Linked DNA regions of Mus musculus. The protein of the gene in region 2 binds, or shares a complex with, the protein of the main gene of each other region. Links are inferred from orthologs where the notes say so. Each region holds a gene or a part of one and is shown on either strand. Other genes may lie near its edges. The genes, in order: Med8, Med13, Cdk8, Med4, Med20, Med12 and Med7.

Region 1 (4,075 bases), on a different chromosome or scaffold from region 2:
TTTTGTTTTGGTCTTTTGTGAATCTCTACCTCCACCCCTATTCTGGGGACCCAGGACTTTGTGTCTGTTCTACCACTGAGCTAAATTCTCAACCCCACATTTTAAAGACTGCAGCAAAGTCACAGGCAAGCAGGACAGACTTTTTTCTTTTTGCCTGACATAGATGTTGGAAAAGGAAGGTCGTGGACTTGGTGAGATAGGCCCTGATTTTCACTTCATTCTTTAAGGGGGACTCTCCTGACCCCAGAAGGATAAAAACAAGTCTTCCAGACGGCAGCCCTCACCTTTCATGGCCACACAGAGGATCCAGTCAACAAGATACTGTGTGTCTTACCATGAGGTCTTCGTCTCGGTCTGGGGACAGCACCAGAGGGATGATGACCTGGTTTCGGAACAGTGGCGTCTTCTCATGCTTTAAGACCTTGTTCAGAGTGTTCAACTGTCCAGAAAGCAATGCAAAGCTGTCCAGGACAGAGGGCCTGGAGGTGGCGAGAAGTCACCAGAGTTACTTCTCCCTACAAAGTAACCTCTAAAAGTCCTAATGCTGCAACACTCAGACTCACCCCGAAGACTCGCAGCCCTGTGTCTGGCATAGGCAAGAACCAGATTTGCTAGTAGAGATGGAATTGGGAAAGAGGAACACACTTTCAATTTTTGACATAGATACAGAAAAAAGGCAACCCACTGTTTGACTGGGTTTGGGAGCAGTGGAAACAGGGGCTGTGGTTACACTGTAGTAAGTCTGTAAAGCCTCCTCCCTAATGTAGTAACAGACTCTATCATTCCAGAAGGCTGGATCTCAGATCCAGCCTCATGTGTGGAAGGAGAGCCACCATAAATGGAGCTATAATGGTCTTCCACTGAGGAAATGCCTCCTCACTAAGGAAGCCAAAGCGTAAGAATTAAAACCTAGAAACAGCCTAGGTTGGGAAACTGGACATTTTTCTACTTCCTTGCCATGGAGGCTTTAAGCCAAACTAAACTTGTCAATGTTGGGCAACCTAGTTCTTTCCAAATCAAAAAGGATATTTGCAAGTTGATAAATGGGTACATCGCTGGAGATGTCCTGTCAGCCAGGGGGCTTGGCCCCACCACCCATGGATCCCTCCCCAGCTTGTCCTGGCAATCCTTACCAGGTCAGCCGGTCATACTCGTTTTCCAACTTGTAAATGAAACTCCCCAGTGAATTCTTCAGATCGGCCACTTGATTCAGCAGGGCATCTAATGATGCCTCAAGCTGCTTCTCCTCCCTCTGCATCAACAGTGTGTTTGGTTACTCAGATACAAGTGAGCGTGACACATTCAGAAAAGCTAAATTGTTTTCTATCTTGGTATTTGGGTTACAGATAGCATCAACCCTTAGACCTTTCAACCTGTTCACCTGGCCTGAAGTCCTCCTACTAACTGATTCCTCTATAACCCTCCTACACTGTGGTCCTTCAAGAAGGTCATTGCACCAGACCTAATTCTCTTTGGCTTGAAACCTCATGATTTGTCTTTGTAACAAAACTGGCTTCGAACTCACTTAGCCTTGCACCTTTTTAATTCCATGCTCTCCTCCTCCCAGCTCTCAAACACTGCCTCTCCCAGTAGACAACATTCTCTTAGATTTGCAGTAGGGTTAATAGGAACGTGCTCAGGTTTCTGCACACTCTTCTTTGTCAGTTCCTCTTCTGGAAAATAGATGTGGCCTGCCTACCTCACGACTGCTTATTGTCACTGCGCTGCTTTCCTTGGGTGGATGAGAATCCCTCGTGTCACTCTGTGGTGTTGGCATTGACACAGTTTTGTTTTGTTTTTTTCAGGAAGTTCAGTTCACCTCAGAAAGGTTTGCCATGATAACAGGGGTGCTATCTGCACACACAGCCTAAATAATTCCCGAAGTTCATTATATCATGGGTGCCTCTGGTCATCCTCTTGTGAGTGTAGCTACTGTCAACCACACAATCTGGACAATCTCACACGTTGCCTCTCTGTAAGGTTTTCTCTGAATACCAGCTCTGCAATCCCCTTCCCGGTCCCCCAACTGGCCGTTTATCCATAGCATTTGGTGCTTTGGAAAGTCAACGTGCATCTTTGTGCCAATATTCCCGTGTCTCTTTCATAATTCGGGTGACCCATAAACAGTGTAGGTTTATCAGATGCAACAAGCCAAGTGAGTAATGAAAGAGTAATGAAAGACAAAGGCGAGGAAACCTGCACATTGTTTCTGAGTGTTAGACAATTTTAAACGCTGAGGCGGCAGAGGGTTTCCGTTTGACTATCTGAGGACTATTTACCCCACTTCTCCGCCCTTAGCAACGAGGTACAAGCCGGGAAGAATGATGCAAAGCTGATTTGCAAACCTGACTATGTGACTGAGGGGGTTGGACACCGGGTTCCACCCACAGCCTCGAATTACAAACAGCTTAGTTTTCATCCTTGGAGGCCCACGATCCCTTTAGCCTTCTGAAGCCTTATGACGCCTGTGTCCAACAGCCTAGATCGAGGCGTGCGGCAGCCCACTACTTTCCCGAGCCTTCCCAAATGCCACCACGATCCTTTTCCACGCTCAATCAAGTCCGCCTTTCCTCCCCGGGCCTCCGACCTTCTCACATCAGCGGGCTCGATGCCCGCGCCTCCCGCAGCTGGCCTCGCTCTCTCTGGCTCCGCTGCCTTTCCTCTGCCCTCCGCTCACAGCCCCAACTCCCCGGTGTCCTCAGCCCAATCACCCTCCCGCCAGCGGCTATAAGGCCCAACCCGCTTCTCACCTGCATTGCCGCGGCCCGGCGGGCGCAACCACTTCCCTTTCCGGTTTCTCGCACGGCTTGCTGCGCTCACCAATCAGAAAACTCAAAACGGGACCATCCCAACAACTTCCGGTTCCTGCCCGGTACAGAACTAGCCGGGTCAGAGGTCAGGAGTGGAGCAACCTCCCTGGCCCGGGCCGGCGCGGGAGGGCTGTGTGATGGCCTCGGAGCGCCCCGAGCCAGAGGTGAGGGATGGGCGGGCGCGGGGCCGAGGCCCGAGGGCGGGCGTGTGGCAGCCTTCACCCTCCGGAGCCTCAAGGAGGCCGTTGCTGTTTTGTTTACTCAGATGCCATCCTGATCTTCGTCGCCCATCCACAGACTTGTTAGCGATAGTGATGCTGATAAAAACTCGTGTTTTGGTTATTAGTTGGGATTTTCATTGTGCCACGCCGAAGCTGACCGACTTTGCGGGGTTTTTTGTATCTCATCTATTGGAATGCAATCAATAGCATGAGTTGATTTCGCTCTAGCGTTCGTGCTCTTGGCAAAGCCCTACAACCCTCTGGCCAGTCTTAACTTAGGACAGACCCTGCTTCCTTCTTTATAAAAGTATTTGTTCTGTGATGTGGCTTGGGGATCACAAGTTAAGGCAGAAAAGGCAGACGAGGCACCCGCCCCCCCACCCCACCCCCCACCCCCTAGATGCAAAGAACCCTATATGTATGTTTTGACATTCAGACTCCAGCAGGGAATCTGGCAGTATTTATTGTCATGTACAGAGCAGACAACTGAAGTCAGAGCAGGTGAGGTGTCATGCCATGCAAAGATACCTTAGGACTACTCCTTCCAACTGAACGAGCGGATCCGAGGAGGTACCAAATTTGGCTAGCGTGTCCAGGACCCCAGAGGGATAGCCTTGTAGGAGGGAAGGTTGATGCATGTGCGTAACGATACAAATAGCAATGGCTACTTGTCGAATTCTTACTGTATGCCAGCCACAATTCTGAGCTCTTTACTGTTACCAGTTCTTTCAACCCTATAAGGCAAACACCATTATCATCCCTCTTTTCAGGAAACTGAGGTGCCACTATTAAAAGAAGCATAGTTGTGCAGCTAGTATTGGGGCTAGAACTCCCAGGTAGGTGAGCTCGCTCTACAGCTACAAGTTGTCCTCTGACCTGCACACGTGCACTCTGACACGGGTGTGATCTTATATATGTATAATGTATGAGTACACACACCCGTGTATGGGGAGGATGTGATAAACTACACACATGAAAACCCTATGAGTGAATAGGGTAGAAACAGAATACCAAGAAGAAAGGGTGATGTTTAGAGAGGCTAGG
Region 2 (3,500 bases):
AAACGTTTTTCTGCTTCTTTCCCACAGTCTGTGTTACGTCCTATGATGTCAAGTTCATCTTCAAGAAATAATCCTGAATTATTTCCAAATTTTCGGTTCATGACAGCACTGAAGCCACAGGTGCACCGATACTGTGCTTCTTGGGTTGGGTCTGGAATGTAAACTCCAACATCGGCACCCTTGATATTCATATTGCAGACACAAATACAGCAACTATCAAAATTACAGTCTTTAAACAAATTCATTACTGATTCTGAAAGGATGAGGTTTACATAAAGACTGTGCGCTTCAGGGATGGAAGGAACAGTTGCAGGTTCAACAGAATTGAGGGGTCGGCATGTAGATGGGGTGGAAGCTGGTGAATACAAGTCTGAATTCTCATACTTGACTGAACCTTGAGCACTAGCAGGCCCACCAGCCCCACGAGGGGTCCTTGGAGTCCTTGGAGTCCTTGGAGTTGGAAACCTAGGGGTGGATGGGGAAGGAAGAATTCCTGCACCACCATTACTAGGAGGTGCGCTGCTCGGAGGCATCCCAAAAGAAGCATGGGTTTGCGGTGTGTAGGCGGGGCCATAGTCCTGATCCAAATTACTGCCATCACTGTTGTCACCAGGGTAAAAAGAGGAACAAATGCATAAAAGAACACATTAATATATGGAACACAAAACAGCATCCTCCATACACTTCCAAGCAACACTGGACATTTCTATATGGTAATCATTACAAGATTACAGGGAGAAATAAGACTTATTTCAGGTTTACTGTGAGCACTATAAAGATTCTTGTGAGCTAACTAGAATCAAAAATAATAAGCAACCAGATTCAAGATTATAAAATGAAGCAGTGACTAGAACTATGGCTTGGGAGTTTAAAATATTTGCTGCATTTTGGGGGGCCATAGGTTCAGAGGTTTGGTTCCCAGGACCCATATCAGGAAGCTCATATCTGCCTATTAACTCCAGTTCCAAGGTGTCTTGATGTCCTCTGGTCTCTGTGGGCACCTACACATATGTAGTGCACATGAAGTCATGTAAGGATACACAAAGACTTAAAAAAATTCATGAAGCATCCACATCTGGACAACCATATTTACTATCTATAAATTTCTAATGCTACAAATATCCATACTTCATTGACTCTAATTGCTACTGATAGCAAAAAATAAATTCTGACTTTTGGGATGTTTGTGTTAGAAAGTGGTAATAGTGAATGTTTTGCTTTGATTTTTTGGTTTGTTTTTGTTTTCGATTTTCTGAGACAGGGTTTCTCTGTGTAGCACACCCTGGCTGCACTGGAACTCAATCTATAGACAAGACTGTCCTTAAACTTGATCATCTACCTCTGCTTCCTGAGTGCCACTATGTACCACCACTGCCCAGTTGGCCATAGTAATTATAAAAATGTGACTGGTAATAAAATGCAAAACTTTATCTGTTATGATGTGAAGTAATTGTAAAATGGCAGTATAAAAAAGAGGACAATTCAGAATCAAAGGCTAAAAGAAAAGGTACCTTGAAAATCAAAAATGGTCTATGGTTTCTGGTCTATGGTCTCAAAGAGTTAATCCATCTCTATTATCATTATGATAAACAAGAATCATTTTAAATTTATTTACTTAGGATTTCCAAAACCAATGTTCTATTTCCAGCATACCAGCTACTTCAAGAAAAACAAAAGCTGAGCTGCAGAAATGGCTCAATGGGTAAAAGTGCTTGCTGTGTAAGCTGAAGACATGAGTTCAGATTCTCAGATCCCATGTGATAAAGCTGAGCATGACTAACTAAACAAGCTATAATCCAGCACTTGGGAGGCAAAGACAGGCATATTCCAGGAAGCTGCTGGTCAGTCTGCTTCAACAAAACACCAAGTTTCAGATCCAATGAGAAACCATGTCTCAAGTGAGTAAACGGCAACACATGTGGCTCGTACTCATGCAGAGTCTCCAGTGCCGCCCTCTAACACACACGGGCACTCACACACACGCTCACACACACGCTCGCGCACACACACCCCACACAAGCAATCAGTATTATAATAACATCATCAATCATACCCCTCCTTGATGAATGGCATTGAAGGGCCTGAAGGAAGCAAGTCCAATTTTCCAACAGTCCAGCTCTGCCGGTAAACACACTCTTCTGGCAATTTGATAGGAGGCAGACAATGGCTTGGTAGAGTTTTTAAAGGTGCAAACATGGAACATCCTACTAGAACTTGACAATTTTCGGGCTTATAGACATAAGAAAAATCCTACAATATAAAGAACGGGGACTTTCAGTGCCTTATATTCCAGGGACAAAAACAAAGAAACAGAATCAAAGCGACTATCTTCTCTAGCCTGTTCTTTAAATGGACAAAAGTATAAATATTATCTGTTTTTATTCTTGAATGCATTTTACATAGTGGTCCCACAATTCCCTCCTCATATTTATTAGCCATAACACTAAAATCAACTGTGAAAAAATTCTTAAACACAGCAATTAATCCTATAAGAAAACACAGGGAGGAAATGACTTTTCTAGAAAATACTTACTTTAATTTCAGACGGTTTAGGGCTACAGAATCCTTCCTCGACCTCGATTCTGAACTGCGTTCCTACACTAGAGCTATTTCCTTCCAGGACAGTCCCTCCGGGTGCTGTGTCCACACTACCGTATTCTTTGTTATTCATATTCATTGGAGAGAAGCCCATAATGTGCTGTTCCAGTGAGGGTGGCGTGGGGTACATTTTGTGGAGGTCTGCAGTGCCTGTGTGTAGTACAACACCCATGTTAACAAACTAAAAGAGGTGAGTCTGTTTACAGTGAAGGAGTTTTGAAAGGAGTTAAGTTTTTAAGCCAAGCTGGAGCTCAGATTTGGGATGCTTACTTATGCAGGACAACGGATCCAGATTTCCTGTCTTTGATTCTTTGGAGCTGGCTTTATCATCTGATCCACTTGCTGACTTTTTAGATCCAGGCTATGGGGGGAAAAACATATTAATGTGAAACCCAAAGTGATCACACAGTATTATTCGCTTATATGTAAGTTAAAGGATTAAGTACTGGTCATCAAAAGTGGTTTTCTGAGTCTACGACAGAGCTAAATATCATACTAGACAGTTTACAGGTAGATCCATCACTGGAGTGCATTGGTAAGTCTTGGGATTAACAGAGAAAAGGGCATCCTCAGGAAAATAAGCAATAAACAAGTAAAAGGCAAGAAAGGTAAAATTAACACAATTCTTTTTTTAGCAAAAGATATTCAAAGAATCTGTCCCTTAATTTAAAAGATATTAAGATTTCCTAAATAATTAATAACTCCTCTTAATTCTTTAATTTTCACCTTGGTTTAATAAAGTTATTCTAGCAAAAATATTTTTACAGATCTAATACTGAGCATAAGTTCAGGGAAACTTCCTAACAAACCAAGTTTTAGCATCTCTCACCACCAACATTTTTTGGTGGATTGGATTGTTTGTTTTTTGAGATAGGTAAAGCCTTATATAACCTAAGTAGGCT
Region 3 (3,063 bases), on a different chromosome or scaffold from region 2:
GTGAAGCAAAACACAGCTTCAGTGTTTCTCATCTATAAAATGAAGTTGGTAAGTCAGCTTAAACATGTGTGCCTTGAACTTAGCCAATGGCTGCTTTTGTTCCTGAGCACTGTAGAAGAGGAGTCAAGGCCACGGGCTCTTAGATCCCACCTACTTCTGTTCAGCCTTGAGTAAGAGAGAGACCTGGATGTTCTCCATGTCTTAAGTGTGGGGAGGAAGGTAGAACAGAAATCGCTTGCAGACGGCATCAGCAGCAGCAGAGTAGAAACAGTGACTAGAATGTGAAGCTGTGGGAAGACTGAGTGGCTGTGTGTTCTGAACATGGTGGCCTGCCTGGGGAAGCCCTGCACAGAAAGTGCCCTTACATGGTAGAATGCAGCTCATGAAGGATGTATGAGTTTGTGTATGTTTTTATATGTGTGGGCACACAGGCATGTGGATGTAAGAATGTGGTGTGTGTGTGTGTGTGTGTGTGTGTGTGTGTGTGTGTGTGTGTGTGTGTGTTCAGGCCCTAAGTTGATATCAGGTGTCTTTCCCTTGTTTACTGTGGCAGTGTCTTACACTGAACCCAGAGCTTGCAGATGTTAGCTAGTCTAGCCGACCAGCTTCCCCTACAGATCTTGTCTCTTCCTCCCAAGTGCTGGGATTACAGAGAGCCACCATGCCTACCAGCTTTTTTTGTTTTGTTTTGTTTTGTTTTGTTTTGTTTTGTTAAATACGTGTTTGTTTGTTTGTTTGTTTGTTTAATATATGTGAGTGCACAGTTGCTGTCTTCAGACACACCAGAAGAGGGCACCAGATCCTATTACAGATGGTTGTGAGCCACCATGTGGTTGTTGGGAATTGAACTCGGGACCTCTAGAAGAGTCAGTGTTCTTAACCGCTGAGCCATCTCTGCAGTCCGCCTACGAGCTTTTATATACTCTGGATATACACACTGAGTGCCTCATGCTCATGTCGCAAGATATGATCAGAATTGCCCACATGGTGTCCCAATTCTTACCTTCCTGGAGAGAAGCTGATGTGGGAAGAGTTGGGAGCTTTGTTTGTTTTTGCTCTGTTTTGCTTTGTATGGGCCAGCTGAGGGGTTTGCTGCTGCTTAGCCAGTGTTTTTATATTTTAATTCTAAAGCTAGTGCCTTACAGAAACTTATACATCTTTGCTTCTTTGAAACAAGATTCCCTTCCCTATCAGCCTTGATGGCGTGGGGCCAAGCTACCTCGAGAAGTCCCTGAATCACGCTTTTCCCTCGTCTTCTTTCCAGCGTTCCAATCCACATGCTGCTTATCCCAACCCTGGACCAAGCACATCACAGCCCCAGAGCAGCATGGGATACTCAGCTACCTCCCAGCAGCCTCCACAGTACTCACATCAGACACATCGGTACTGAGCTGTGCTGGAGTCTGTCAGTGCACTGTTGCTCATGCTGCAGGACTGGCTGCGGCACTCGCGGGAACCTGGTGTGGGCCATGCGAATGTACTGTACAACCACATCTTCACAATGTCCAGTAGCCGAGTTCCACCAGTTGTCACAGATTGGGGTGGTAGCTTCCAGGTTGTACCTAAGTTTGGAGTTAGACTTGAAATGAAAGTGCTAGCACAGTTGTGTTGTGGGTTTGCTACTTCCATAGTTTACTTGACATGGTTCAGACTGACCAAGCATAGTTTTCAGTGACAGTCTGTAGCAGTTGAAGCTGTGAAATGTGCTAGGGCGAGCATTTGTCCTCGTGTGTGGTGACTTTGAGTGTAACAGCGTGATCTGACCAATAGTACACACAGACGCAAGGTTTAACTGGTACTTGAAACACAGATTATGTTAACAAAATAACCAAGATTTAAAGATTATTTTGGTACACCTTTCTTTTTAGTGTCTTATCAGTGGGTTGATTCATCTTCTACATAAATCAGTGTTTTATGACCAAGAATATTGCTTGGATTGTTTTGAAAGTACAAAAGAACCACATAGTTTCTACTGACAGGTTTCAGAGCTCCCAAAGATTAATTTCCAACTTAGAGGTTTGTTTTTATTTTCAACCTATGACGACTTGACTGGTCTTAAAGCTGCTATTTGATAGTAATTAAATATGTTGTCATTGATAGAAGCCTGTTGGTTCAGCAAACTGAAATGAGTGTTGCAGACAGGGTTTTCTTTTCCTCGTTGGTGTTGCTGATTTGTGAGCATGCTTTCTGAATACAAAAGCATGAGTGGCGACCTCCGTGAGGCACGGTGACCTCCTCGAGGCACGGTGACCTCTGCGAGGCACGGCGTCAGTCCGCACTCTTCTGTCCTGATTTGAAGCTGCCTAGTGTAGTGCTATTACAATTTTGTTCAGTTAACTTTCTTTTTAAAAGGTTGTTCGCACATTTTTAGGGTGCCCTTACTTCAGCAAAGGAGAGGGAGTAGGAGAGCCTTAGAACTTTTGAGGGGAAAATAAAAAGCTATAACATACAACGTACTGTATCAAACTATTTTACATGAATGACACAAGTATTCTGAATAAAAAAAAATTGAACATTGTTAAAAACAAGGTGTTATGTAATAAATTTATTTTTCATAAATCAATGTATGGTGTCAACTATATTTTTCAAATTCACCAAGGGTCTTTTGTTGTATTTTAAAACATGCCTCTGTATAACTCTTCCCAGTGACTTATTGGTGACAACTGATGGCTTAGGCTGAGGTGTGCACTCTGGTCAGCTGTCTAGGTCTGTAGCACAGGGGACAGGTAGCTTTATAGTCGGCTAGTTCTGGTAATGGTAGTTCCACTCCGTTACCCTTGGTTCCTCCTTTTTAGAGCTAACAGATATTTTCTCAAAATCTGAAGCCATCCCTTTAAAAACAATCTAGCGCAGTCCACGAGCTGAGGAATCAGTACTGGTAGGCCTGACCAGAAGAGAAAGGGGGGTTGCTGGGAGTGGCATTTCCAAGTCTTCTCACCCCTGTTCACACCCATACTGCATGCCTTTGATCACACAGGTCCCTCCTTAACCCTCTGAATTGAGTGGTTGTGTTTGGTTTCTGTCAACCTTAGCTCTCACGGTGTTTCTTATGACCCTTACACG
Region 4 (4,017 bases), on a different chromosome or scaffold from region 2:
AGATAAGGAGGCAGGATGGCGGTTCCCAAAGGGTGCAGGTGTGAGATATGACACTGGAAAAATACACTTGGATCTGGGCCTGGGTGGCAGCTCCCTGTTATCTGCACCATCAGGGAGCTCTCAGCACTACTCCCAATAGGCCACCCAGTGCCACCATTGGCAGCAGCCAGCTCGCCTGCACACACTCCTCCAGAGCCAGCTCCACTGTGCTGCCCAGTCAAGGGACTGGGCCAGCTCTCCTGCTCTCACACCCTAAGGGCTGGCTCACCCATACCTTCACCATCAGCTCTAGCTCAGGTGGTGCAGACCCACCCTCCTGAGTGCTACAGCTAGGGAGTGGGCAAGGCTAAGTCTCCTATATTCATGCCTTGGGGCCGACTCTCCAGACTACCACAGATGACAGGGGAAGAGGGGGAGGGCATCACCCCTGCACCCACACCACCTCATAACAGACAAGTGGCAGGGCCCACTCTCCAAAGTGCTGCAGGCAGCAAGGGGCAGGGCCAGCTCTCTCAACTACTGTAGGTGGTAAGGGGCATTCCCCCCCACACCCAGGAAACCTCACAGTAGATGAATGGCTGGGCCAGCTCGGGGCTGGGTCACCTATGCTCCCCCACCCAGGGACAGCTCTACTGTGCCGTCCTGGTGAGGTGCGGCGTCAATTCTCCTAAGCGCTGTAGCCATCAGGAAGCAGGGCAGCTCACCCACTCTTATGACCCTGTGGTGACCAGAGTATGTTTTAGAGTATCCAAGGCTACATACAAAGAGAAACCTTGTCTTGAACACTACCCCTCCACACACACACACACACACACACACACTCCAAAAAGAGAAAGGAAGAAAGCACAGGGAAGGAAAGGAAAGAGAATGGATGAACAGTATACATAGCGTGTAAGAGTGAGAGGATCTTTGATTTCCATTCAAGTTTCACGGGGATAAAGCAGCAACATACAGGTGTTTATAATAACAACTTCCTCCCAGCATTCTATCTTTGTCTCCATTTTGTAAGGTTGTGTTGATTAACTCAAAAGTAAGGAATAAAATTTGTATCCAGACCAGGAAGAACGTCAACTCACAGCGATGTGTCTCCCTGGGACACTCCGGTGCTGGGATTTAAGGTGTGAGCCACTATGTATGGCTGGGAACTTTCATAGGCACTGTGTTACATAAGTGCTATAAAGAAAAGTATCAATGTGCCGGGCACACTGACACGGACCTTTATTAATCCCAGAACTCGGAGGCAGAGGCAGGCCAAGGGCTGTGGGTTTGAGACCAGCCTGGTCTACGGAATTACAGAACAGGCAGTGAGACAATCTCAGAAAAACCCAAAAATAAAATAATGCTTTTTTTTTTTTTTTTTTAAGTATCAACTTAAAAGACTTCAAGAAGCATCCCTACTCTCACACAAAATAAATATGAACTTTCAAACATTAACTTATCTCTCTTATTTTTTTTTCAAGAAAGGGTTTATCTGTGCTGGCTGCCCTAGAACTCCCTCTGTAGACCTGGAAGTCAGAGATCCACCTGCCACTCCCCCACAAGTGGTGGGATTGAAGGTGCGAGCCACCACTGCCCGGCATTAATAACTTTTTAATAAAAAACAAACAAACAACAACAAAAAGTTTACCTGGTTTTCCTCTTCCAGCTGTAATAGCTTCTGATTTCTTGAAATTGCAAGCATTTCTATGAGTTCCCTAAAAGAAAAACACCCATCACGGTATGGTGATACTTGCCTGTAAACTCAGTGTTTGGGAGGACTCAGACCAGCCTCAGATATCTAGTGAAACCTTTTCATAACACAGTAGAAACACAAAAGAAACTGTTTAAATTGCTCCCTGCCCCAACCGATTGTTGGGTTTATGGTCCTCCTAACATGCTGGACTCTCATGGTGACTACAAACACTTCAGCATTCGCTGGCTAACTGCACGTGATAAAGACTCAGCTGTGATTTACAAGAAAACCTCCTGACTCAACTATGTAGGTCTGTAGGCCAATAGTGCTGCCATTTGTGTAAATTATGTTTTCTTGTAAGACGGTGGCCATGGCTGCCTTCCCTTGATAAGACTTCAACTGATAGATTTAAGACTATCACGACGATGTGGAGTGTGACATCCAATTTACTCTATCTCGGCCACACACCAGCCAACCCCACTGTGCCCTGCCTGATGTTTCCAGGCTTTTTCAGATGATGGGCTATCTATCAGACGCCTAACAAATCTGATTTGACTAGCAGCCCATTTCTTGGGGACGTGTGCCCTGCTACCACCAGAATAGGAATCCCATCGGTGGACTGCAGGAGGCTGCGGCTCAACCCTTAGAAATCTGGTCCATAGCGTTTTAACACATTTGTCTCTCCTGTCACCCTGGGCTCCTTCGTGTTGGCATCTAGCCTCCCCTTGACTACTGGGGGGAAGCGTGCTTTTAAATGTCTGTTGCGTGTCAATGACTGAGGGGGCTCGGATCTGCCCCTCTTACCGGCTACTAAAGTTTTGACTGCCTTGGTTTCCAGGTCATGTGACTGAGATGTCCCCTTGGCGGGGAAATGCGGCCCAAAGCCCCCGAAGGCCCTAGACCCCACGTCCAACGGAGCCTCCCAAGCCCGCCTACCCAAGTCAGCGCCCACAGCCGAGCCGGCCGGAGCAGGCTCCCGGGCCGCGGTTACCTCGACAAGACCTCCAGATCTTCCAGCGCAGACAGAAGCCGCTCTCGCGTACTGCCAAGGCCGGCCATTCCCGAAACGCCTCCCATCCGCTCCTTTTCCTTCTCACCACTTGAAGAAGCCGCCATCGCCCCGCTGACCACCAGCCGTCGCATGCGCAGTGTGAGCTAGCCACAGGAGGGGCGGAACCGGAAGAAGGAAAGAAGAGTAATAGAGGTCGGGACGGAGAGGTCCGGCTAGAGCGCCGCCTATGTGCCTGGAGGTGCACTACAGTTCTAGCGCCATCTACAGGGCAAAGGAGGGCTTGTGACTCGTTCCAATCTGACATGCTCCAACCGGACCCAGGATGAGAGATGCAGTTCCCAGTCTCCTGGGTTTTATTTCCTCAGCATCAGTGGAAGGCTTCTAACAAAAGATTTTTTTTTTAAACTGGGGAAATTACATAATTATTAACTTCTATTTTGTCTGTATTCCGATAAAATCCCAGCCATCAAGTTTGGTCTCTCGTGAAGTTGTAGTAAACTTAGAGCAGGAAGTAAAATCTTTTCTTCCCTCCCCATTCCGTTGTTTGGTAGCAAAATACATATAATTGGCCTATAGACCAGGCTGGTCTCGAACTCAAGAGATCTGCCTGCATCTCGAGTCCTGGGGTTAAAGGGGTGTACCACCATGCCCCGCTACTAAAATTCAGTATCTTAACCATTGTATGTGTAGGGTTCACTGCCACTAAATTGCTGTTAAGCAAGGCAGTTGTGAGGCATGCCTTTAATCCCAACACTCAAGGAAGCAGAGGCAGGCAGATCTCCTGAGTTAGAGACTAGCCTGGTCACAGAGTGACTTCCAGGACAGCCAGGGTTACACAGAGAAACCTCGTCTCAAAACAAAACAAACAAACAAAAAATTGCGGCTAAATAACATCCCCAAAACTCTTCAACTTGTAAAATGTAAAAAAGGTGTGCTCATGAAGGTCTGACTTCCCGTTCCTGAAAACCACACTGTACTTTCTGTTTGTCTGGCTATTCTATGCATTTTGAATGAGTAGAATCACATGTTCTAGTTTGGGGCTTGGGGGTTTGCTTGTTATTATTTTTTGGTTTTGGGGGATTTGGGCTTTGTTTGGTTGGCTTGCTTTCTTTCTTTCTTTCTTTCTTTCTTTCTTTCTTTCTTTCCTTCTTTTCAGACCGAATCTTGTTGTGTAAACTAGTCCTAAACTAAGAAGGAACTCACTTTCTCATTACAGCCTACTGAATGCTGAGCCCCTATAGCAGGCTGATTCATTTAGCATAATGCTATCATGGTTCATGTACATTGGAATAGGTGCCAGAATACCCCTCCCTTGAAGTCTGAATAATACTTC
Region 5 (3,500 bases), on a different chromosome or scaffold from region 2:
GGCAGAAAAAACTTGACTCAGCTTGACTGTGGTCTACTGTCCCAGCCTACTGTTCATAGGCTCCCTATTGCAAAGCCTCTGTAAGAGCATTTAGATTTCAAAGGCAGCATTGGCAGGGTCCAGAGAGGCATGCCGATGTTTCCCTTCTGTTTTATGGTTGAGGTTCTAGGGCTGGAACTCAGGATGAGGCCAGTATCTGTTACCGAGCAACACCACCAGCCCTTAGGGTTTTTCTTGTTTTGTTGAAACTATAGATGATGATATATAAGAGCTTGTCTATAGCCGGGCGTGGTGGCGCTCGGGAGGCAGAGGCAGGCGGATTTCTGAGTTCAAGGCCAGCCTGGTCTACAAAGTGAGTTCCAGGACAGCCAGGGCTATACAGAGAAAACCTGTCTCGAAAAACCAAAAAAAAAAAAAAAAAAAAAAAAAGAAAGAAAGCGTCTGTCTATGGGTTATCAATCATGATAAAAAGTCCTCGTATATACATACATACCATTCAACTCTTCTCAGCACCCAAGAATTTTCTGGTGCTCGTAGGGTATGTTTGGCCTCTGTTGTCTGGCTGGCTTTTCCAATTACCCGCATCTCTGGAAAAGGCTAGCACTTAAGGATCCTTCCCTCTCAGGCTGCCAAACTGCCAGCTGGCCTTGTTTGGTGCACTTGACCTATCCCGGGGTGTGTTGACAAAGGTCGTGATGATGAGTGGGCCATCTGTCCCTTGCAGGCCAGGCTGGGAAGCTGATGTACGTGATGCATAACTCTGAGTACCCACTGAGCTGCTTTGCCCTCTTTGAGAATGGCCCTTGCCTCATTGCTGACACCAACTTCGATGTGCTTATGGTGAAGCTCAAGGGCTTCTTCCAGAGTGCCAAGGCCAGCAAGATTGAGACCCGGGGCACTCGCTACCAGTATTGTGACTTCCTGGTGAAGGTGGGCACGGTCACAATGGGGCCCAGTGCCCGTGGCATCTCTGTGGAGGTAAGACCTTGGTGAAGGACAAGCAGGATATGCTGTGGGCTCCACAGTAAGGATTCTGGAAGCTTTCCCAGCCCCACTTAGTTCAGGTAGACTCAGACAGTATCGTCCCATGCTCCACTGCAGGGGTCCTTTTTTGGTGGCTGATTTTTTTGCCCGGTGGGAGGGCTGGAGGTGGTGATTCATGTCTCATGCCTTGGACTTACTATGTAGCCAAGGATGACAAACTTAATGTTGCTCTCTTCTGTCCCCGAGTGCTGAGATTGCAGCAGTGTGCCACTCTCCCCCGCTTCTTTCTTAGGTTATGCATTTATTTAGACAGTTTCATTTGGCTTGGACTCTCATTCTTTGTTTGTTTGTTTGTTGTTGTTGTTGTTGTTTGGACTCTTCATTCTTATGTCTTCATATGTTTCACCTTGCCTGGTTTGTGTGGTGCCTGAGATGCAGAACAGACCTTGTGCTTGCTAGGCAAGTACTGTACCAACAAAATGCTATATCCTCAGCTCAAAAAAAGAAACAGAACCCTGTCCCAAAACAACAACAACAACAACAAAAAGAAACAGAAACATATATGTATATGCATGCATGGGGTTATAGGAGCTTTCTTTAGGAGATTTTTTTTTTTTTAGATTTTTTTTTTCTGAATATTGGGTATTTTGCTTGCATGTATGACTCTGTAATACATGTGTACAGTGCTCACAGAGGCTAAAAGAGGGCATCTGATGCCTTAGAATTGGAGTCAAGGACTTTTTAAAGTTGTTAGTCCATATGGGTGCTAGGAACCAACCCCAGGTCCTAAGAGCAGCAAGTGATCTTAACTTTTGGGCCATCTGTCCAGCACTGCTCTAGGGTTCTTCTATCTTTTCTTTAGTCATTCACTCTCTAACCCAGAATTGAAGTGGGTTCGCAGCAAGTAAAAAGCTTAGAGATGCTCACTTGCTGGAAACTGAAGGCATAGGCAAGGAGAGGAGGGGAGTGAAGATATAGAGACCAGCACCCTTTCCAGGAAGGGCTGGAGTACCAGCTCTCTGAGGGTGGTCTGAGGTGGGCTGTCAGTCATGTGCCCATGTGTCCCTCCTTAGTATATGTTATGAGTGGTCTCCAGAGCTGTGGAACAAACTCTACTTTTCCCTTTGGCATCTGTCCACTTTCACGGTGGCCAAGAATGTGTGTAGAAGATGCCTTTGTCAAAAAAATGATTACACTTGCTTATGGTGGGCGTAGATGTAAATGCGCCATAGCACACTGACAGAGATCAGAGCATCCCGTTCTCTCTTCCTACCATGTGGGTCCTAGGGATTGAACTCAGGCTAGCCGGCTGGGTAGCGAGCATCATGACTGGCTGATGGCCTGCAACATTGAACCTAAATATGTGGTATTGAAAATGACATATGGAGAGATAGCTTTAGAGTGAAAATCCATAGCCTTCCATGTGTCCCGCATGGACTGAGATTTTAGAAACAATAAAACAAGATAGAAGCCTGCAGGGCCTCCCTTTTGAAAATGTATCATTTAGTAAGCAAGCGAAGCTGAAACACAAACTTTTTTTTAAGAGTATGTAAAGTTTATAACTGTTCAAGTATAGTTTCTTTTGTAAAAAGTGCTACAATAACAAACTACATTTAAAAAGAGTTCTTAGTAGGGAAACAGTAAGTTCTATGAGAACACAGACTAGCACAGCACAGGCTAACACTTTGTGCCTGGCTGGACATTAGAGGTTAAAGGTCCTGGGAGGGAGCTCCATCCTCAACTTGGAAGGCGAAGCCTTCAGGGGGAGTTTCTGGCACCACATTTTGGTCTTCCTCCGCTGAGAAGTACTTCTCCATTAAGTTCAATGAGGCTTTGTAGACAGACTCCTTTTCATGGCTTTGTAGTGCTTCAATTTTATCCAAGGCTCCATACTCTTCAATCATTATACTGAGCTTTTCTGTCTCACCTAGTTTCTCGGCAGCCTGAAAGATATTTGAAATGGCATCAAGAATAACCTGAATAATCTTGGTATCTTTTGCACTTAAGAGGTTCATCAAAGGTTCTGTTATCCCACAATGAACGAGATACACAATCTGCTCAACAGTCCCACCGCTGGTAGAGTTGGTTATAGCCCATGGCCTCCTTCTGTGTCTTAAAGTCTGCCTTAGAGAGGACACCAACAAGAAAGGGGACTAGGCCGTGATTCACTACTTGCTGTATCTGGTTCCTGGTGTCCAGCTGTAATGTAATGTAATGGTCCATGTGGCCTCCTTCTGAATATTAGTTTTGGGGTTTGTTAGCAGGCTGGGAAAGACTGCAAGTGCTCCTGCATCTATCACTTTCTGAGTCTGCTCATCTGTTCCAGTGACAGTATTCCCTTTGGGTCTTAGAGCGGGAGTCACAGTGGGCAGTTCAGTGGCTCCTAGAAGCTTCACAAGTTGGGGAACAACTCCTTTCTTCACAACCATCTCAATGCGCTGCTTTGGACCATCAGTCAGGGAGGAAATGGCCCAGCAGGAATCTGCTAGTACTTCTGGGTCATGGTGGTGCAGGAG
Region 6 (3,500 bases), on a different chromosome or scaffold from region 2:
CAAAAGTGACTCTGAAGGAAATTTTGGGTTGAGAGTGAGAAACAGTCACTCTGGGAAACTGCCAAGGTGGGTTGTATGAAAACATGGGGTTCCAGCAGGTCAGGGAGAAACAGGTGTGGCATCCTGCTTGTCTCTCTTCCTGCTAGAACTAGTCGGAACTTCTGTCACATCACATGCCATCTCATGCGCACAGACAGCAACTATTTAGAAATGTTCCCTTCAGAGAAGTTCTCTAGTTAGCTTGGTGTATTTGTGGGGACTACATGAGACGACACAATGACAGGCATTGTCTGGCATCTCTACCCTACTCTCATCTGGAGTGTTGTGGAAGGATGATGGGGTTGCACTGGTTTCTCTCCAGCCCAATGAGCCCCCCCTCTAGTGGCACATCCCCAGTGGGAAAAAGGCTGTCATGAAGCTGCACTGTTGAGTTGAGGACCAAGGGCTTGGAGCTCATTCGGGTTGCTTTCGAGCAGGGAACCAAGTGTAGCAGTGCAGCGAGAACTCAGAAATGCAAAGGCAGAGGGTGAGGAGGGAGACGATGCAGAAGGCATGAAGCTTCTTAGTGATTCATCCTTTCCCCGGTACTCTCACAGGAGACCCTTCCATGTGTACATTCACACACTTCTTTTGCAAAGAAGCTCTGTGTATTGAGTGCAGCAGCTCTAGGATCTCTATATAAATAATATACAAAACCCAACAGTTCAATGTTTCACATTAACAAAAATACTAAAAATTCATTAAAAATGGAGCCTGAGGGAAGGACCCCAACCACTACTGGAGCTCGCCCAGGAAGGGGACTGGGAATTAAGCAGAAAGGCTGGGCCACATCCAGTGTACAAGCAGTTCCTCCAGGTGACTCAGTAGCGTCCAAATATGTTGGTGCTGGGCTGTGGCTGGGTATCTGTGAAAAATGAGAGACTGTCAGGGTAGAAGGGCTCATATTCATAAGGAAAGCTAGTGGGCTGGGAAGGAAAGGGGAAGGGGGAATGGGACCTCCACAATCTGGACCTGAAGCGAGCACCTCGGCCACCTCTGCCTACCCCATCCCCTCTTCCCCAGATTCTTCTTTGGAAGGATATAGGCTTACTAGAGAGCTGTTGTTGAAGTTGCCGGACCAAAGCTGCTGTCTGTTGCTGCTGCTGGGTCTGCTGCAGGCCCTGGCGCTGGAACTGGATTAAAAATGGAAAGTGGAAGATAGAACTCCAACTTTCCAGCTCCTTCACCCATTTTAACCTATTAGTGTTATCCCTGACCTCCCAAAGCTACCCCATTACACACTGTTCCTAGTGGGGATTGGCTATGTGCCCATCCTGTGCAGCTAGCCCTGAGCCTGTGGCTATAGATCAGCAGCTACCTGGGGCTGGGACTGGGGCTGGGGTTGGGGAGGAGCTGCCTGCTGCTGCTGCTGGTGTGGCTGCTGCTGCTGCTGTTGCTGTTGTTGTTGCTGCTGCTGCTGTTGCTGCTGCTGCTGCTGTTGCTGTTGTTGCTGCTGTTGCTATAAGCACATAAGAGATCATTTTAAGAAGAGCAATGGAGCTGGGACTTTGTGTTGAAAAGATGGGAGCAGGAAGAGGAAAGGGAGTTGGAGCCAAGAAACAGTGAGGGAACTCCAGGTCCACAACTGAAAGAAACCAAATAGTATAACTGACAAAGACTGTCCAATTTCCCTCCTCACTATGATTCTCAGGAAATGAAAAGAAAAGGAGTCGGGAGGAAGCCACTTAAGCACCAATGCTGAACCCATTATGAAGGCATAGGCCTATAATTCCAGCATTCAGAAAGCTGAGGCAGGAGGATTGCCATGAGTTTAAGACTAGCCTAGGTTATAGTATGAGACCCTGTCTGAAGCAACCAAAGAAAAGCAAAGTACTAACATAGGTCAGCCATTGTGCTCAGTGCTTACTACATTACCTCACATTTCATCTTGGGGATAGTGTGGGAAGAATATGTCCTTTCTTTCTTGAGTTCTCAAGTGTCTGACACAATCCCATGGCCTTACCCGTAGCATCTGCTGCTGCTGCTGTTGCTGTCGGATATGGTACTGCTGTTGTTGTTGCTGCTGCTGCTGCTGCTGTTGTTGTTGCTGCTGCTGCTGTTGCTGCTGCTGCTGTTGCTGCTGCTGCTGTTGTTGTTGCTGCTGCTCAGGCAGGATGGAAGTTGAACGGACGCCTGCCTGGACACCCTGGGCACTCAACGGAGTCATGGTACCCATCATGGGTGTCTGCTGCAGTGTCTGGTGTGAAAACCTCCAAAGACAAGAGGTCCAAAGGTCAAAGCACAGGGCAGGGAAAGGGGGTGGTGCAAACCCTGGGTCCCTGACCTGAAAGAAACTAACACGTCATTGTATTCATTCGTCTTGGCACTAATGAGAGGAGCCCTTTTGGAGTCTGACAGATTTCTAGGTCAGAGAATAAAACACAAAGACAATACTCCATTTTACTGTCTCATAACCTTAATGCTTAGGAATTTTTAGAATCTGTTTTAGCTATTTTTCTCTCATGAAAAACTGTCTGCACATGATAAACATTCTATAAACACCTATCAAGGGTTTTATGGCTGCTGTTGCTCCCCAGAAACACACCCAGTTGTTCTGCTATTCCATATGCCCTTTCTACCTAAATCTGCAGATCCCTGAAAATCTGCAGCTGGGCTCCCTCTCTTCCGTCTTCTCACACCTTCCCCTACATTCCATCCATTCATTGCACACTAACCCCTTAACACACCAAGCCCTTCCTATCACTCTCCTGAGCAAAGCAGTCCTTTCTGGTTGTGTCTCAATGCCATACCTCAGTATTCAATGTCATAGTCAACTTGCCCTCTGTAAGCTAGGCCCAGCTCCCTCTCTAGCATCCATTCCACACTACACTTAAGATCTGCTCCTTTCTGTTGCCACTCAATCCAGTCCCATGTTTTGGCTCATGCTGCATCCTTTACCTGGAATGCCCTTCCTTTTCCACTTCTCTACAAATCGCAATCGTAGTTATCTCAGAGAGTCCATGAGTCCTTCTCCAGTGACTCTGATCTATACTGGTGGTAGCCCACCTCTCCTCAAGTCCCATTTTCCTCCTGGTACCCAACTGAACACCTGATTATGGCTTTGTTCATACCATTCTCTAAAGGTTCCTCTGCACAATATCTTCTGTATAAGACCTCTTCTTCTCAATTAGGGTAAAAAATCTTTGTGGTGAGGAACCATGTACTTCTTTTTCACTATCTTTCCTCACTCTAGTCCCTGCATAATGCTGGCTACAGAGCAGGCAACTAATCAGGCCACTCGAGAGTATTCTACAGCCTAAGTTACAGAGCCTCAGGACAGTTGCCCAGGTCTTAACTAAGATTTGACTAAAGTTAGCCATGAAATTCATTTGTTAGTCCATTCTAGAGCTCAACTGCTTTTTCTTTCCTTGAGAAAGGGTCTCATGTAGCTCAGGCTGGCCTCAAACTCATTATATAGCCCTGGATGACCTTGAACTTCTGATCCTCTTCCCTCACCTCTT
Region 7 (3,261 bases), about 40 Mb from region 2:
CACACGGAGCCCCATAATTGTTCCCAGTTACTTCCAAATGAAAAGTAAAACCAGAAGCTGAGTGTGGTGACACCTGCCTAGAACTCCAACACTGCAGCTAAGGTAGCAGGATTTGGATTGAGGCCAGATTGGTCTATATAGTTTCATGCCAGCCAGGGCTACAAATGCCAAAAATAAGTAAAACTTTTAACAAGTGGTAAGAATATTAGCTGTTATCTCTTTCAATCCTTAAAACAATTCTACGGAGATTTTGCTGTTTTTATTTCTGTAGTGTATTCACTGTAACTCTCAAGAGTCCATTCTTTCCTTCAACCATGAATTCTAAGCTAGCACCCTTACCTACTGCCCCTCCATTAGTATCTCAGTGATGTTTCAGGATTTAAACCATGTAGGCCATCAGCCAAATCTACTCCGTGATCTGATTTTCAACTCCCAAGAGTGTAGAAATTTACATTTAGGTGGCCCAAAAACTCAAAATATCTCACAAAATTCCTGGATAATTGAGTTTCAATTTTCAGCGTCCATATTTTATTCCAATTGTTCATATATGAGAGTTGGATTAGAGCAGTGCTTTCATTTACCTATTGTCTATGACTGCTGTCAAGCCATAGATGAGTATTATGAAAGAGAAATTGTATACCTTTCAATGCCTATTAAATGGCTGTACAGTAAGTTTACCACCAGATGAAGATGACAAGGAACCAAAAAAGGGAGAAGGGGGCAAAACAAGAAAAATCTTTGCCGATTTCTTATCCCACATAGACTCTTGCCCAACCAAACCATAAATGTGAAGTTTTAATTCTTATGAGTCTTAGTTAGGAACATTACCTACTAAGAAGGGTTTTTAGGTAGAATTACAAGCACCATCTTAAGATATGGAAGTCTTAACCAACAAACCCTGCCTCCTGAGTATGTTTAAAGAGAAGTCATTCTTCCAATCAACAAATGTATCCTCTTGAGTCTAGTGTCATGAGGTATTTACTAGGGTGGATTTCAAGATTAGAAAACTGGAGTAGCTCTAGTTATGATTTCCAGTATGACAGACTAGAGGATAGAGAATGAAGTTCAGTACTTTGGCTATGAAACTGAATACCTACTTTCTAACTTGATTCTGCCACTTATTAGTTGGTTAAGTCAACTTCTCTGAACCTCTACTTCCTCATCTGTAATGACTAAAGACGGATTGAGTTGTGGGTAGCTTTGTGATTAGAACTGTGCTACCAACATATACATGTGTTTGAAAAGGATATAAACTGGACAAGGTGTTCTGATTAGATTACTTTGGAAGCAAGACTCTTCTGAGGGTGGTATGATGGCTAAGAGACTAGGATAGTCTTAGCAAACACAAACCAGAAAAGAAGCTATGTTGAGACTGAATAGCTACTCAATAGAGTTATCTTTTGGGGGAAGCCTGTATCCATCTGTGAAGGTGAAGTATGTACATTTCTCATAGAATTGGATCATAACCACATCATTACCTGACTGGGGCAAAAAAAGAGTCCCTAACAAATATTCTATGGAGAATAAGGAGGAGAAAAGCTGTGATACTGAGTTTGCTGGAACAGTAATCAGAAAAATAAACTTTCTATATTATTTTGGAATAAATCTAAACATTTTATAATTTCACATGTACACTTGATGCCCTTTATTAGTCTCGAAGCAAATAACTTTTTTTCCAAGAATGACAATTCGTTATTACTTCAAGTTTTTATTCCAACTCCAAAAAATAGGACTATCTCAAACAATAGCAAACATTCAGCTTTTTTATGGCAATTACTCAAATATACTTGCTGGCCTATGTTTAGTGTTAAATTACCACCTACAGCATTTCAATTGAAAAAAAGTCTCTTAGTATCTTTAGTTATACCTCTTAAGACTGTCTGAGAGGAAATAAACTAATATATGATGCTACTTACTAAAAGGAAAAAAAGGAATATTCTTCATGGCCTTTCATTCATTTCATCAATTAGCACACATAAGGCAGCATCTTTTTCTATAATCTGGTCCCTTCTGTGACCTGAACTTTCTCTTTGTTGTTCATTCTGTCCAGGACAATTGCTGTTATCATCAGTATCCATCGGCTCAGCTTTAACTCTCATCCCTGCTTCTGAATGGGGCAAATCATCGGGCAAAGAAGCCAAGCAATTCTGAATCATTTCAATGACTCGTTCCAGATGTTTCTGAAACCTCTCAGCTGTTTCAAGGCGCTGGCGTTTCTGGACCTCCATCATGACTCTCAAAGTCTCTCTTGCTTGGTGGGGTCGATATTCATTTATAAGATGATGTACATGTACAAAAAGTAGCTTAAGATCTTCTAGCTTTTCTTCTCGTTTTATACTCCCAGGACTTCTTATTAAGATGTCTAAAAGGTCTAAGAAATTAATCAGTATAGACATATTGAGTTTTCTCAGCTCTTTCTTATGATCAAATTGCATAGGATGAAGCCGTTCAATGCCCTGACTTTCTAAAGGGCGAATGATAAGATCATCACATTGGAACTGGTTGCCAAACATCATGTAGCTGTCTTTAATTGGAGGAGGAGGCTTGGGAGCCAAGCCTTCCTGAATATTTTCATCTGTATATTCCTTGATGTACTGCATTGGAGGCGGTGGAAGTGCACTCACTTGCTGTGGTTCACCCATTGTAGACAATCAAGAACCTAAAGAAACAGAGCACGATTCAGAACAGAATCATGAACACCACCTTCCTCCTGCTGCCCCCAATTAGTGACTTCAGAATATGTTCTTCCTTTTTCTGACAGTACACAGTCCAAGACAAGATGATCTTAGATTTTAAAATTAACATTTACAGCAGTGAATAGCTATCAATTATGTTCTAATTAAATATTATGTTAACATCCATGTATTTTCCTTTATTTCCTCAGGGTTTTCAACAGTAGTTAATAAAACAAAAGCTACATCTTTTTCCTCTATAGAGAATGTCTGAGGGAAATGGAAGCTGGGACAGCCCACATTAGCTCTCTATCTACTGGGGCTTGCGGGAAAAATCTTCAGATATAGGCCACATTTCAGTGGAAGACAGGCACCCACAATACCAGTAATGACAAAAACAAAACAATCCTTCCAGAGCACGGAAGACTTGTCAATTTCTCAAAAACAGACCGGGCAAAGTATACTGGGGGGGGGGGGGGGAGAAGAGCAGGGCAGGGTGTGAGGGAGGGAGAGGGTCTTGTGACATTTGTTACTGTGTCATGAAACTTCACTGATGAGAGAAAAAAGTACCAACCTAAGACCAGAGCAG

What was found.
Region 1: Med13 (region 2) and Med8 share a complex: the UniProt entries of both Homo sapiens proteins name them as parts of the mediator complex. The link is inferred for Mus musculus from reciprocal best matches to the Homo sapiens genes MED13 and MED8.
Region 3: the proteins of Med13 (region 2) and Cdk8 are in contact, whole or in part, in a cryo-EM structure (PDB 8TQC), measured with the Homo sapiens proteins. The link is inferred for Mus musculus from reciprocal best matches to the Homo sapiens genes MED13 and CDK8. Residues at the interface, in NP_005112.2 of Homo sapiens: Thr1616, Met1617, Asp1618, Arg1619, Lys1621, Val1622, Gly1623, Ile1624, Pro1625, Thr1626, Asp1627, Gly1628, Asp1629, Ser1630, Val1732, Lys1733, Thr1734, Leu1735, Thr1736, Gly1737, Phe1738; in NP_001251.1 of Homo sapiens: Leu9, Glu12, Arg13, Arg71, Lys74, His75, Pro76, Leu81, Gln82, Lys83, Val84, Tyr133, Asp137, His140, Tyr141, Met330, Gln331, Phe335, Leu336, Leu340, Pro341, Thr342, Ser343, Asp344.
Region 4: Med13 (region 2) and Med4 share a complex: the UniProt entries of both Homo sapiens proteins name them as parts of the mediator complex. The link is inferred for Mus musculus from reciprocal best matches to the Homo sapiens genes MED13 and MED4.
Region 5: Med13 (region 2) and Med20 share a complex: the UniProt entries of both Homo sapiens proteins name them as parts of the mediator complex. The link is inferred for Mus musculus from reciprocal best matches to the Homo sapiens genes MED13 and MED20.
Region 6: the proteins of Med13 (region 2) and Med12 are in contact, whole or in part, in a cryo-EM structure (PDB 8TQC), measured with the Homo sapiens proteins. The link is inferred for Mus musculus from reciprocal best matches to the Homo sapiens genes MED13 and MED12. Residues at the interface, in NP_005112.2 of Homo sapiens: Ser157, Glu158, Thr336, Val337, Pro339, Gln340, Ser341, Gln343, Lys344, Trp345, Lys347, Phe348, Asp1186, Ile1189, Leu1190, Gln1193, Asp1194, Pro1332, Ile1333, Thr1335, Leu1337, Tyr1340, Asp1341, Tyr1342, Asp1343, Tyr1344, Leu1345, Val1346, Leu1347, Ser1348; in NP_005111.2 of Homo sapiens: Ala3, Phe4, Arg12, Pro13, Arg16, Leu86, Thr123, Thr127, Thr150, Pro152, Val153, Met154, Arg155, Phe242, Pro278, Leu281, Arg282, Arg356, Pro357, Phe360, Gly361, Cys364, Gln367, Thr368, Cys372, Pro407, Glu408, Phe413, Val417, Lys1526.
Region 7: Med13 (region 2) and Med7 share a complex: the UniProt entries of both Homo sapiens proteins name them as parts of the mediator complex. The link is inferred for Mus musculus from reciprocal best matches to the Homo sapiens genes MED13 and MED7.

The regions. Positions count from the first base shown.
Region 1 is NC_000070.6:118,408,062-118,412,136, reverse strand, and holds the start of Med8 (mediator of RNA polymerase II transcription subunit 8), read right to left. Parts: upstream 2,801-4,075; 5' UTR 2,757-2,800; coding exon 2,751-2,756; exon of another isoform or gene 2,588-2,750; intron 1,253-2,587; coding exon 1,134-1,252; intron 612-1,133; coding exon of another isoform or gene 564-611; intron 480-563; coding exon 335-479; intron 1-334. Other genes in the region: KICSTOR complex protein SZT2, read left to right, coding at 2,948-2,974. UniProt on the Homo sapiens protein: Component of the Mediator complex, a coactivator involved in the regulated transcription of nearly all RNA polymerase II-dependent genes.
Region 2 is NC_000077.6:86,298,597-86,302,096, forward strand, and holds part of Med13 (mediator of RNA polymerase II transcription subunit 13), read right to left. Parts: intron 2,960-3,500; coding exon 2,869-2,959; intron 2,749-2,868; coding exon 2,534-2,748; intron 2,251-2,533; coding exon 2,054-2,250; intron 601-2,053; coding exon 1-600. UniProt on the Homo sapiens protein: Component of the Mediator complex, a coactivator involved in the regulated transcription of nearly all RNA polymerase II-dependent genes.
Region 3 is NC_000071.6:146,300,312-146,303,374, forward strand, and holds the end of Cdk8 (cyclin-dependent kinase 8), read left to right. Parts: intron 1-1,264; coding exon 1,265-1,390; 3' UTR 1,391-2,563; downstream 2,564-3,063.
Region 4 is NC_000080.6:73,508,832-73,512,848, reverse strand, and holds the start of Med4 (mediator of RNA polymerase II transcription subunit 4), read right to left. Parts: upstream 2,801-4,017; 5' UTR 2,789-2,800; coding exon 2,664-2,788; intron 1,695-2,663; coding exon 1,628-1,694; intron 1-1,627. UniProt on the Homo sapiens protein: Component of the Mediator complex, a coactivator involved in the regulated transcription of nearly all RNA polymerase II-dependent genes.
Region 5 is NC_000083.6:47,618,085-47,621,584, forward strand, and holds part of Med20 (mediator of RNA polymerase II transcription subunit 20), read left to right. Parts: intron 1-724; coding exon 725-978; coding exon of another isoform or gene 979-993; exon of another isoform or gene 994-3,500. Other genes in the region: Gm20517 (predicted gene 20517), read left to right, coding at 725-978. UniProt on the Homo sapiens protein: Component of the Mediator complex, a coactivator involved in the regulated transcription of nearly all RNA polymerase II-dependent genes.
Region 6 is NC_000086.7:101,294,591-101,298,090, reverse strand, and holds part of Med12 (mediator of RNA polymerase II transcription subunit 12), read right to left. Parts: intron 2,250-3,500; coding exon 2,003-2,249; intron 1,499-2,002; coding exon 1,358-1,498; intron 1,173-1,357; coding exon 1,091-1,172; intron 905-1,090; coding exon 861-904; 3' UTR 1-860. UniProt on the Homo sapiens protein: Component of the Mediator complex, a coactivator involved in the regulated transcription of nearly all RNA polymerase II-dependent genes.
Region 7 is NC_000077.6:46,439,961-46,443,221, reverse strand, and holds the end of Med7 (mediator of RNA polymerase II transcription subunit 7), read right to left. Parts: 5' UTR 3,247-3,261; intron 2,660-3,246; 5' UTR 2,643-2,659; coding exon 1,941-2,642; 3' UTR 501-1,940; downstream 1-500. UniProt on the Homo sapiens protein: Component of the Mediator complex, a coactivator involved in the regulated transcription of nearly all RNA polymerase II-dependent genes.